Linked DNA regions of Sus scrofa. The protein of the gene in region 1 purifies or fractionates together with the protein of each later gene. This does not show direct contact. Links are inferred from orthologs where the notes say so. Each region holds a gene or a part of one and is shown in the gene's direction. Other genes may lie near its edges. The genes, in order: MCMBP, MCM8 and MCM3.

Region 1 (3,651 bases):
GGAGCTGTAGCCGCCAGCCTACGCCACAGCCACAGCATTGTGGGATTTGAGCCGTGTTCGCAACCTACATCACAGCTCACAGCAACGCTGGATCCTTAACCCACTGAGCAAGGCCAGGGATGGAACCTTCGTCCTCATGGATGCTAGTTGGGTTCGTTAACCCCTGAGCTGCGATGGGACCTGCTGGCTATAATATTTTTTGCTGTTTCTGATTAAAAAAACAATTGATCTAGAATTCCTTGATGGCTCAGTGGGTTAAGGATCCGGTGTTGTCATTGCTGTGGCTCGGGTCACTGCTGTGGCACAGAGTTAGGAACTCTGCCGTGGATATTGCCAAAACCAAAACAAAACTAAAGAACAGCTGATCAACGAAATCTGCTTTATTTTCAAACAACATTAAACTAATTCTGCTTTGTTTGCTCTTTGATGGAAATCAGAAAATCACCCAAGTGTCTTATTGGTTGACATCTTTTTTTTTTTTTCTAGGTATACAAGAAGAGATGTTCTTCCCCTAGGAAAATTTACGGTTAACTTGAGTGGTTGTCCGCGGAATAGTACCTTCACAGAACACTTGTATCGAATTATTCAACATCTGGTTCCAGCAGTAAGATCAATATAAATTTGTATTATAAACCTAAGTGCCCTTTAAAAATCCGTCTTTCGTTCAACCCAAATATTAAGCTTTGAGATTTTAATAGATCTCATTAAGGGAAAACAAACCTGCCTAGTACTGTGTTTTTTGCTCATCCCTAAACATTTCACTTTTATTGCCTTAGCACAAATTTCTCTAAGTAACAACACAACTGTAGTAAACTCTCTTAACATTGCACTAGCTGTAATGTCAGTTCATTAGTACAATTTGGTATCCTCTGTGTGCTTTAAAATCTTAAATCTAAAGAAACTCTAAATTACAGGAGCACAATTCTTTTAGTTCAGGGTAATAACTTTATCTCTACTTCCCTAATTTTGATTCTGGTTGGAAAGTCAAGTTACTTTTATTTGCAAGGACATCTGGAATGCATTTTTGTGTGTGTATGGTGCTAAGATCTTGGGAATGAGAGAATAGCTTCTGATTAGTCATGTGACTGATAATGCTGATCACTTCCTACTTGAGAAATGTAAGAGGTTGAAATAGATATTCATTTAACTAGTGTTTATTAAGTGTCTTCTAGGACCTGAAGAAACAGTAGTGGACCAAATAGACCAGCATTTCTCACACTCTGACTCACTTTTTTTTTTTTTTTTTATTTTATTTTTTGTCTTTTTGCCTTTTCTAGGGCCACTCCCGCGGCATATGGAGGTTCCCAGGCTAGGAGTCGAATCAGAGCTGTAGCCACCGGCCTACACCAGAGCCACAGCAACGCGGGATCCGAGCCGCGTCTGCAACCTACACCACAGCTCACGGCAATGCAGGATCCTCAACCCACTGAGCAAGGCCAGGAATTGAACCTGCAACCTCATGGTTTCTAGTTGGATTCGTTAAGCACTGCGCCACGACGGGAACTCCTTTTTTTTTTTTTTTTTTTTTTTTCTTTTTTAAAGCTTTATTGAAGTAGTTGGTAGTTGATATACAAGGTTGTGATAATTTCTGCCATACAACAAAGTGATTCGGTTATACATATACACACATCCATTCTCTTTCAGATTCTTTTTCCACATAGATTATCGTAGAATACTGGGTAGAGTTCTCTGTGCTATATAGCACTTCCGCGTTGGCCAGTCATTCCATATACTTCAGTGTGCATATGTCAGTCTCAAACCTCCAGTCTACCCCTTCTCCCCTTCCTGTCCCCTTTGGTAACCATAGTTTTTTCAAGGTCTGTGAGTCTGTTTCTGTTCTGCAAATAAGTTCATTTGTTTCCTCTTTCTAGATTCCACGTAAGTGATATCATGAGATGTTTGTCTTTCACTGTCTAACCTCACTTAGTATGATAATTTCTAGGTCCATCCATGTTGGTGCAAATTGCATTATTTTATTCTTTTTTATGGCTGAGTAATACTCTGTTGTATATCTGGCTGAGTAATACTCTGTTGGATATATGTATCCATTCCTCTGTGGATGGACATTTGTGTTGCTTCCATGTCTTGGTTATTGTAAATAGCACTGCAGTGAACATTGGGGTGCATGTATCCTTTCAAATTATGGTTTTCTCTGGATAGATGCTCAGGAGTGGGATTGCTGGATCATATGGTAGTTCTATTTTTAGTTTTTTGAGGAACCTCCATACTGTTTTCCATAGTGGTTATACCAATTTACATTCTTACCAACAGTGTAAGAGGGTTCTCTTCTCCCCACCCTCTCCAGTATTTATTGTTTGTAGACTTTTTGATGATGGCCATTCTGGCTGGTGTAAGACGATATCTCTTAGTAGCTTTGATTTGCATTTCGCTAATAGTGACATTGAGCATCTTTTCATGTGTTTTTTGGCCATCTGTATGTTGACTTTGGAGAGATGTCTATTTAGATCTTCTGCTTATTTTTTTATTTTTTATTTTTTTTGGATATTGAGTTGCAGGAGGTGTTTGTATGTTTTGGAGATGAATCGCTTGTCAGTCTATTCATTTGGAAATATTTTCTCCCATACTGTGTGTGTCTTCTCGTTTTTTTTTTGTTGGTTTTTTTTTTTTGTTTTGTTTTTTTGTCTTTTGTTGTTGTTGTTGTTGTTGCTATTTCTTGGGCCGCTCCCGCGGCATATGGAGATTCCCAGGCTAGGGGTCGAATCGGAGCTGTAGCCACCGGCCTACACCAGAGCCACAGCAACGCAGGATCCGAGCCGCGTCTGCAACCTACACCACAGCTCACGGCAACGCGGGATCGTTAACCCACTGAGCAAGGGCAGGGACCGAACCCGCAACCTCATGGTTCCTAGTCGGATTCGTTAACCACTGCGCCACGGCGGGAACTCCTCTTCTCATTTTATTTAGGGTTTCCTTTGGTGTGCAAAACTTTTACGTTTAATTAGGTCCCATTTGTTTATTTAGATCTTTCTTTTCATTAGTCTAGGAGGTGGATCTGAGAAGATACTGTGCAGTTTATGTCAGTATTCAGCCTATGTTATCCTGTAAAAGTTTTATGTAGCATTTGGTCTTATATTTTGGTCTTTAATCCATTTTGAGTTTATGTCTGTGTATGGTGTTAGGGAGTATTCTCATTTCATTCTTTTGCATGTAGCTGTCCAGTTTCCCCAGCACCACTTATTGAAGAGACTGTCTTTTCTCCATTGTATATTCCTGCCTCCTTTGTCATAAATTTATTGTCCATAGCTGCATGGATTTATTTCTGGGCTTTCTGTCTTGTCCACTGACCTATATTTTTGTTTTCTGTGCTGGTACCATAATGTTTTGATGGCTAGCTTTGTAGTATAGTCTGAAGTCAGGGTGCCTGATTCCTCCAGCTTCATTTTTCTTTCTCAGAGTTGCTTTGGCTTTTGGGGGTCTTTCGTGTTTCCATACAAATTAAAAAATTTTTTGTTCTATTTCTGTGAAAAATGCCACTGGTAATTTGATAGGGATTGCATTGAATCTGTAGATGCCTTGGGTAGTGTAGTCATTTTGACAATATTGATTCTTCCAGTCTAAGAGCATGGTATATTTGTCATCTTTGATTTCTTTCATCAGCATCTTAGAGTTTTTAAGGTATAGGCTAAAGAA
Region 2 (3,651 bases), on another chromosome or scaffold:
AAGATCAAAAAGGGAACATTGAGGTAAGGCCTCAGACAATAACTTTAACTTTGAAAAGCAGCAACCACCCTTATGACTGATGGAACAAAAGGTAAGTATTTCTAAGGTTACCAGAACCTAGAAATTCAAAGGAGGTTTGAATTCTTAGTTGTGGCTTTGACTTTTGAGAGGCACCCTACAAAGCTGTGCTTGGCTCTCTGAAGGGTATCCTTCAGAGCTATGCTCAGACCACTGAGGCAAGTTAAAGCTGAGTATTGCTGGTAATTCTGGTAGGAGGTTGGCATGGTTGGTGCCTGGAGTTGCAGGCTAGAACTGGACCTATCCTCCGTAGCTGGAGAGATGCTAAAAAGGATTGAAAACAAAAATAAACTAATTAGCTTCCTCCCTCCCTTCTTTCCTATCTCTAAAGTGCCTCCAATTGATAGAACCTAACAGGATTCTGGGAAATGCAGTGTTCAGATCTTGATCAGAGAATCACTGAGGAGAAAATAGAAGGGTTGACCTAGAACCGAGACAACCATCAACAGTTTGTGTAGAAACACAGTTAAAGATCTCCTTTTTATAATCCAGAATACCAGTTAAAATTATACATCTGTCTCTGTGGGTTTGAAGAATCATCTTTTCTATTCTCTGATAGTATCATGTCCTTATTATATGTCTTTTGAGAGGTGGCATTTATGTTTATATATATCTGTGCTTTTTCCCTAATAGATTGTGCATTGCTTAAGCCCAAGGATCTTGCCCCATACCAGGAACTCAGTATTCATTTTGCGAATGAATAAAGTGCTTACAAATGTTTTCTATATTGAGAGTCTGTTTTTTCCTATTACTTAGATATGTTTCATGGTTGATGTGTCTTTTGTTGCTTTAGGATGTTGGTTTAGCCACCAACACCTGCACTATTTCCCTGACATTTAGCTCAGAACATTAGAAGTAGTCTTTGGACTAGTCCTAAAGATGGAACTCACAAAGCACCTTTGACCAGTTGTATTTCCAGACTGATTCATTGTACCGTTGCTGTGTGAGAGACCAGTTTGAAAATGTTATGGGAGTTCCCATCGTGGCGCAGTGGTTAACGAATCCAACTAGGAACCATGAGGTTGCGGGTTCGGTCCCTGCCCTTGCTCAGTGGGTTAACGATCCGGCGTTGCCGTGAGCTGTGGTGTAGGTTGCAGACGCGGCTCGGATCCCGCGTTGCTGTGGCTCTGGCGTAGGCCGGTGGCTACAGCTCCGATTCAACCCCTAGCCTGGGAACCTCCATATGCCGCGGGAGCGGCCCAAGAAATAGCAACAACAACAAAAAGACAAAAGACAGAAAAAAAAAAAAAAAAAAAAAAAGAAAAGAAAATGTTATGGAACTTTACATTGCGGAAGATAACTGTACAATTTTGGGACCAGAGTCAAGAGGTGGTCTGCTGCCCCTGATCTCAGGAAGGGATTTGACAAGTGGCTCTTTGGACTAGTAGAATTTTCTTTGCAAAGGCATTGTCTTTAGCACCGTTAAAGAAAATAGTTTAATGTGTCAAGCTTTGTCTTCATTATGAAAGCTGTGTGAACTAATAAGTACTATTAGGTTCACAGCTTCAGTGTAAAGATTTTCAGATATCGGGGCTTTTAGGAAGAGATACTTCCTGTCTTCATTTCAGATTGTACAGACCTAAGCATGCCTTAGAATCTTGTGTATACATTGTATACCATTTCTTATCTAAATGTAATCAGAATGCAAAGCAATTGGATAAGTCATTTACTGTGTGTGTGGTATTTTGTCTCATGAAAAATATATGTAATGATTATTAATGCTGATGCCATTTTTGAATTAGTTTACAGTGACAGCTCTCCTTTTATTGAGAAGATTCAAACATTTGAAAATTTTTTCACAAAGCGTATTGATTTATATGATAAGGTAAGATTCCTGTACCACAAAGCTATTAGTCCACCTTTATATGTCATCTTATTGAGCGGTATATTCGAGGTGCTAATAATTGTGATGACAGACACTGGGCTGCTTTGGTCCAGCTCCCAGCTTGCCACGTTAGCAGTGTGGACTTTGGCAAGTTACTTACTTTGTGCCTCAATTTTCTCATCTATCATTAGAGGATAATGGTATCACTAGTACCTACTACAAAGGGTTGTTAAAGCCATAAATGAGTTGATGTATTTTAATATTAAAACTGTGCGTAGTACAAAACTTGTAGTACTTATCGCCTTAGTAATAATATATGCTTTCTCAAAGTTTATAATTGAATGCTCAGGCATGATAATTGACTCTGAAAAAGCAATCATTGTTTTTATACCTTAATATTTTATAGGATGAAATAGAAAGAAAGGGAAGTATTTTGGTGGATTTTAAAGAATTGACAGAGGATGATGAAGTAGCTAAATTGATACCGAATGTAGCAAATGAATTAAGGGATACACCTGAGAAAACCCTGGCTTGCATGGGTCTGGCAATACATCAGGTAAATATTTATTTTTGTGAGACTTGACAGAATTTTAAAGGAAGATTTTATGTAACAGTCCCATCTCTAAAAGATTTCTTAGTTTTTATCAACAGAACTTGGCTAAAACTGAAAGGTTGCAATGCTGTCCTAAAACTCTCTGTATAGCAGCTTACCCAAATATAACATTTACTTCTCATTTATTTAAATTAGTTTAATCTTATCAAAGATTGTATAGAAATTAAGCCTCGTTTTCAAGGAGGCATGTAATCTCACAGGAAAGATAAGGCTTGATGGTGTTACTAGTTATGAACTTGGAACAAAAAGTTTAATCCCAGATTTAGGCTTTGCAGCATAGGGCAAGTCACTTAATCTCCCTAAGTGTCCCCATGTGTAGATCAAAAATTTAACAGTATTTGCTTTGCCTGCCTGAGTTTTTCTCAGAGTTAGATGACACAACATATGTGAAAGCATTTTTTAGGCAGGCAACTAGATAAATGATTCAAGGTAAAATGTGGTAAATCTTAGGACAGGCACAGAGAAGTGCCAGCTGCATTCAGAGATGAAAACCTTCAACTTTTGGGGAGGAATGGGGAAAGTGCAGAGGAAGTCTACAGACATGGTCGGTTGTATGATGAGTCTTAAAGGGGGTACTGAAGACTGGATATAGAGCAGAGGAGGTGAGCAACAGTTTATTACCAAGATGTGCACACTGCTAGTGACCCAAGACTGGGAACCTTGGCTGTTTTCTTCAGACTCCCCTTGCTCATTAGTTCTCATTATCTAAGTTACCATATCCTTTCACTTCTGTTGCTTAAATGTCTCTTAAATCCACCACTTTTCCATCCTTACAGTTTCTATCTTAAGTCTTCATTATCTTTCCTTAATTGTTGCCATACATGGTAAAACATGATTTGTCCTTGGAAACTGGTGACTCTTTCCTGCCAAATGATATCCAAGCCCTTTGTGTGTCACTGAAAGCCTTCCATAACCTAGTTCACCTTCTCCTCACTCTCCTTCATTCACTACCATCCAGCTAAACTGCACTTCCTCCAGGATTCTCTGGATCCTGCACCTCTTAGACATGCTATCCATTGGGCATAGAATGCCCCTTGCCTCACACATCCAAATGTCTTGTCACTCTGTGAAAGCTTTCTTATGACCCCTTTTCAAAGCTCACGTGGGTTTTTTTGTCTGGTAATTTTTACAGTAA
Region 3 (3,751 bases), on another chromosome or scaffold:
GGGTGTACACATCAAAAAATTCATTGAAATGGATGTAAGATTTGTGCATTTTACCTCAAAAAAACCCCCAAAATATAAACAAACTGCAAAAGACTAAAAAGAAAACAAACCAAAAAAACCTCCTGCGATATGCAATCGGTCTTTTAATTGTTTATAATTTCAGATTTGCTGTTTTAATTAATGACTGAAACTTAAGAGTGGCGTGAAACACCTTTTGTTTCTCCTTCTATTTAATTACCTTTCCATAAGCTAAGTTTTTAAAAAAGATTTTGTGAACTTCTCATAAGGCGAGAAAGACTTTAACTTACCCATTTGCGAGTAGGATGGTGTAGTAATTACGTCCATAATTTCTTACAAAACACGAGGTCATCTGGGGTGGGGGTGGGGAAACGTCGCGAAAATTTTTCTTTCACGTTCCTCTCTTCCGCGGCCTAATATTTTTGTGGGGTATTTCAGGCCACGGTATTCAGATAGCAAATGAGTTGCTGAACTAAAGAACCTCTCCCAAAGATGCTGTGATTCTATTCTCCACCCTAGATTCTCGAAATTCACTTTTTCCCCGAATGCCACTAGAGGGCGTTTGAAAAACCTATCTATAGCACAACTGATATATATTGGATATATTTTAAAAACGGTTTGCCTTTGTGTTTTTTTCTCCCTGCATGCTAAACTCACATTCTCTGACGTCTAGTCTAGTTTCAGTCCAATCGCCGGGCCGAGTTTCACTCAGTGGCAGGTCGGGGAACCGCAACCAGAAAACACCCGGTAAAACATTGAGGAAAAAGAGGGACGACTACGACTCCCAGAAGGCAGCGCTTCAGGTCTCGCTGGCTCTCCGGCTGCCCAAGGAGCAGGCTCTGCGAGCCTCCTCTCATCTCATTGGTCAGCTTTCCTGTCAGTAAAGGTGGAGTAAGGAGGGGCCCGGCTAGCACAGTTCCCGCCACTCGGAGGAGCCGCAGAGAAAACCTAGAGAAGAAGCCGTCCTCGATTGGATACTCGCTGTTCTCGCGTAGGAATAACCAGCCAATCAGAGTGTATATATCCTCCCAAATACCCCACCCCTTCCTTGGGGTTACTTTTGTTGGCGGGAAAAGTAGAGAGGTTTTCGCGCCGGGGCGGGGCTACGCTAGGCTCTTTCGCGCGGCTCCGCTGGCAGGAGTTCCTTAGCAGCGAGCATGGCCGGGACCGTGGTGTTGGAAGATGTGGAGCTGCGAGAGGCGCAGAGAGACTACCTGGATTTCCTGGACGACGAGGTAAGGGAGGGCTGGGTGGTCCAGGAGCCCCGGGGGCCGCACTGAGGCCGAGGGAGACCGCGGAGCTCCAGGCTGCGGCGGCGGGACGGAGGTTAGGGACCTTCCGCCCTGATCTTGTAGCCTTTCTGGCAGCGGAGTCTGTGGTTGAGAGCAATCCTGTGGCTTTGCAGAGTACAAATGATGGCCGGGTCTCGCGAAAGGCGCAGGTTTCCTCCAAGCGCAAACCAAGTGCAAAGGCCACGCTGACTTTTTTCACTCCCTGCTCTCTTAATTTGGAGGGAGGGTCGGGGAAGGACCGCTGGAGAACGGTGATGGTAGTGACCTGCAGACTTATAGGGTCCCCAGGTTTTAGTGGCTGACTTTCCTGCCGGAGGAAACGACTCCCTTATTTGGCCGCGTTCCTTTTTCCCTACCTTTTGGGACGGAGAGAAATAGTGTTGGCGTGCAAATAAGGGGGGTTTGTATGCAGTTTAAGATTGACAGCCACAGAATGTTGTTTAAAGCGTCTTGAAGGGTTGATAGTGCTCTGTTTGCGAATGTCCGGATATGGGAACTCTATATTATGCAGATGATTGGGGAAATAAAGTAATTCCAGACAAAATTCTGCAACGAAAAGTCACTTTGAGTATTAAAAGTCTGTTTAATTTGCATTTTAACAAGGATTTTACTTGTTCTTTTTAAATTTTTTTTTTAGTTTTTAAATATTTTTTACATTGAAGGCTAGTTGACTTAGTGTTGTGTTTCAGGTGTATAGCAAAGTGATTCTGTTTTATATATGAGTGTGTGTGTGTATATATACACATATATATATATTCTTTCTCAGATTCCTCTTCATTAGACATTATTATAAGATTGAGTATGGTTCCTGGGCTATACAGTAGGTCCTTGTTTATTTTAGATATATTAGTATGTATCTGTTAATCCCAGACACCTACTTTATTCCTTCCCCTTAACTTGTCCTTAATTCCCCAGTAAAGGTTGTGAAATGACTGCACACAGAAGAGCTATTGGTGATAATAGGAATTACAGCATGGGTCTTGAGGAAGTCATAATTCATACACTGGTCTCTTAGGTGTCTTTGGAATGTGAGACTAGTGAGTGAAAATGTGGGAGGAACTGGGATTCACCTCTGCTGCAGAGATTGATATATTTATCTTGCTGTGAGAGCTGCCTCTGTTTAAAAGCATCATATATTTGAATTTGTGGCCGTTGTGACATGTGGTGGTTCTTTTGCAGGAAGATCAGGGAATTTATCAGAGCAAAGTTCGGGAGCTGATCAGTGACAACCAGTACCGCTTGATTGTCAATGTGAATGACCTTCGCAGGAAGAATGAGAAGAGGGCTAACCGGTGAGTGGCTAGGTGTCCACCGCCACATCCTGGCCCTGAGTCAGAATGGCTCCCTTCTCTTCATTGGATTGGAGTAGACTTCCCAGCAGAGGATCTGGATGAAATGTTTCTGACCTAGAAGCCCTTAGTACCTCACCTGCTCTTATGTTTTTTACTTCTTTCCAAAGTAGGTGGTAGGCATTTTCCTCTCAAGAGCCCTTCCTACCGTGTTTAATTATATATCATGTCTCTGTCTTTGATAAGTTGAATTAAGGTTGGCCCTCAGTTCTGGTGTATTTTACTGGGTCTTGTAGGATGGCAGGAGAAAGTAGAAGCCAGATTTTCACTCCTAAGCTTTGATTATCTAAAAATGTCTACTGCTGTTTTGTAGGTTGAGTTTTTTTTTTTTTTAAGTGCCGCATCTGTGACCTATGGAGGTTCCCAGGCTAGGGATCCAATTGGAGCTGTAGCCGCTGTCCTACGCCACAGCAACACTGGATCCGAGCCAAGTCTGTGAGCTACACCACAGTTCACAGCAACACCAGATCCTTAACCCACTGAGCAAGGCCAGGGATCAAACCCGCATCCTCAAGGATGCTAGTCAGGTTCGCTCACTGCTGAGCCATGACGGGAACTCCAGTAGGTTGAGTTTGTCAAGTTCTGCCCTCTCTGCCTAATGATTCTTCTTCTTGCCTATCCGCAGCCTCCTGAACAATGCTTTTGAGGAGCTGGTTGCCTTCCAGCGGGCCTTAAAGGATTTTGTGGCCTCCATTGATGCTACATATGCCAAGCAGTATGAGGAGTTCTACATAGGTTTGGAGGGCAGCTTTGGCTCCAAGCACGTCTCTCCCCGGACTCTCACCTCCTGCTTCCTTAGCTGTGTCGTGTGTGTCGAGGGCATTGTCACTAAATGTGAGTGGGCTGGAGTGGAGGGCTAATTGAATGGAGGTGGGATAGACGTGGGGTGGGGCAGGCTGGAAGGCAGGAAAGGTGCAGTAGGGTTGGGGAGCTTATGGCTTCAGAAGGGTGAAGCACTGAAATTTCAGGGTGAAGCTTGGAGGAGCCCAGCCGTGCACAGTGATGGAGGACCTGTGCCAGCAGAAGGAGGAAGTCTGCTGAGAGCAGAGGATTCTTCGCTCTTGGCAGTCTCCTCATTCTGACCCTGAACTT

What was found.
Region 2: the proteins of MCMBP (region 1) and MCM8 purify together in Homo sapiens (co-immunoprecipitation; 3 studies listed by BioGRID and IntAct, with this or other methods). This does not show direct contact. The link is inferred for Sus scrofa from reciprocal best matches to the Homo sapiens genes MCMBP and MCM8.
Region 3: the proteins of MCMBP (region 1) and MCM3 purify together in Homo sapiens (affinity purification with mass spectrometry; 10 studies listed by BioGRID and IntAct, counting the BioPlex papers as one, with this or other methods). This does not show direct contact. The link is inferred for Sus scrofa from reciprocal best matches to the Homo sapiens genes MCMBP and MCM3.

The regions. Positions count from the first base shown.
Region 1 is NC_010456.5:129,683,105-129,686,755, reverse strand, and holds part of MCMBP (mini-chromosome maintenance complex-binding protein), read left to right. Parts: intron 1-486; coding exon 487-604; intron 605-3,651. UniProt on the Homo sapiens protein: Associated component of the MCM complex that acts as a regulator of DNA replication.
Region 2 is NC_010459.5:14,796,830-14,800,480, forward strand, and holds part of MCM8 (DNA helicase MCM8), read left to right. Parts: intron 1-1,820; coding exon 1,821-1,903; intron 1,904-2,309; coding exon 2,310-2,459; intron 2,460-3,651. UniProt on the Homo sapiens protein: Component of the MCM8-MCM9 complex, a complex involved in the repair of double-stranded DNA breaks (DBSs) and DNA interstrand cross-links (ICLs) by homologous recombination (HR).
Region 3 is NC_010449.5:46,101,723-46,105,473, reverse strand, and holds the start of MCM3 (DNA replication licensing factor MCM3), read left to right. Parts: upstream 1-1,048; 5' UTR 1,049-1,175; coding exon 1,176-1,253; intron 1,254-2,489; coding exon 2,490-2,602; intron 2,603-3,284; coding exon 3,285-3,493; intron 3,494-3,751. UniProt on the Homo sapiens protein: Acts as a component of the MCM2-7 complex (MCM complex) which is the replicative helicase essential for 'once per cell cycle' DNA replication initiation and elongation in eukaryotic cells.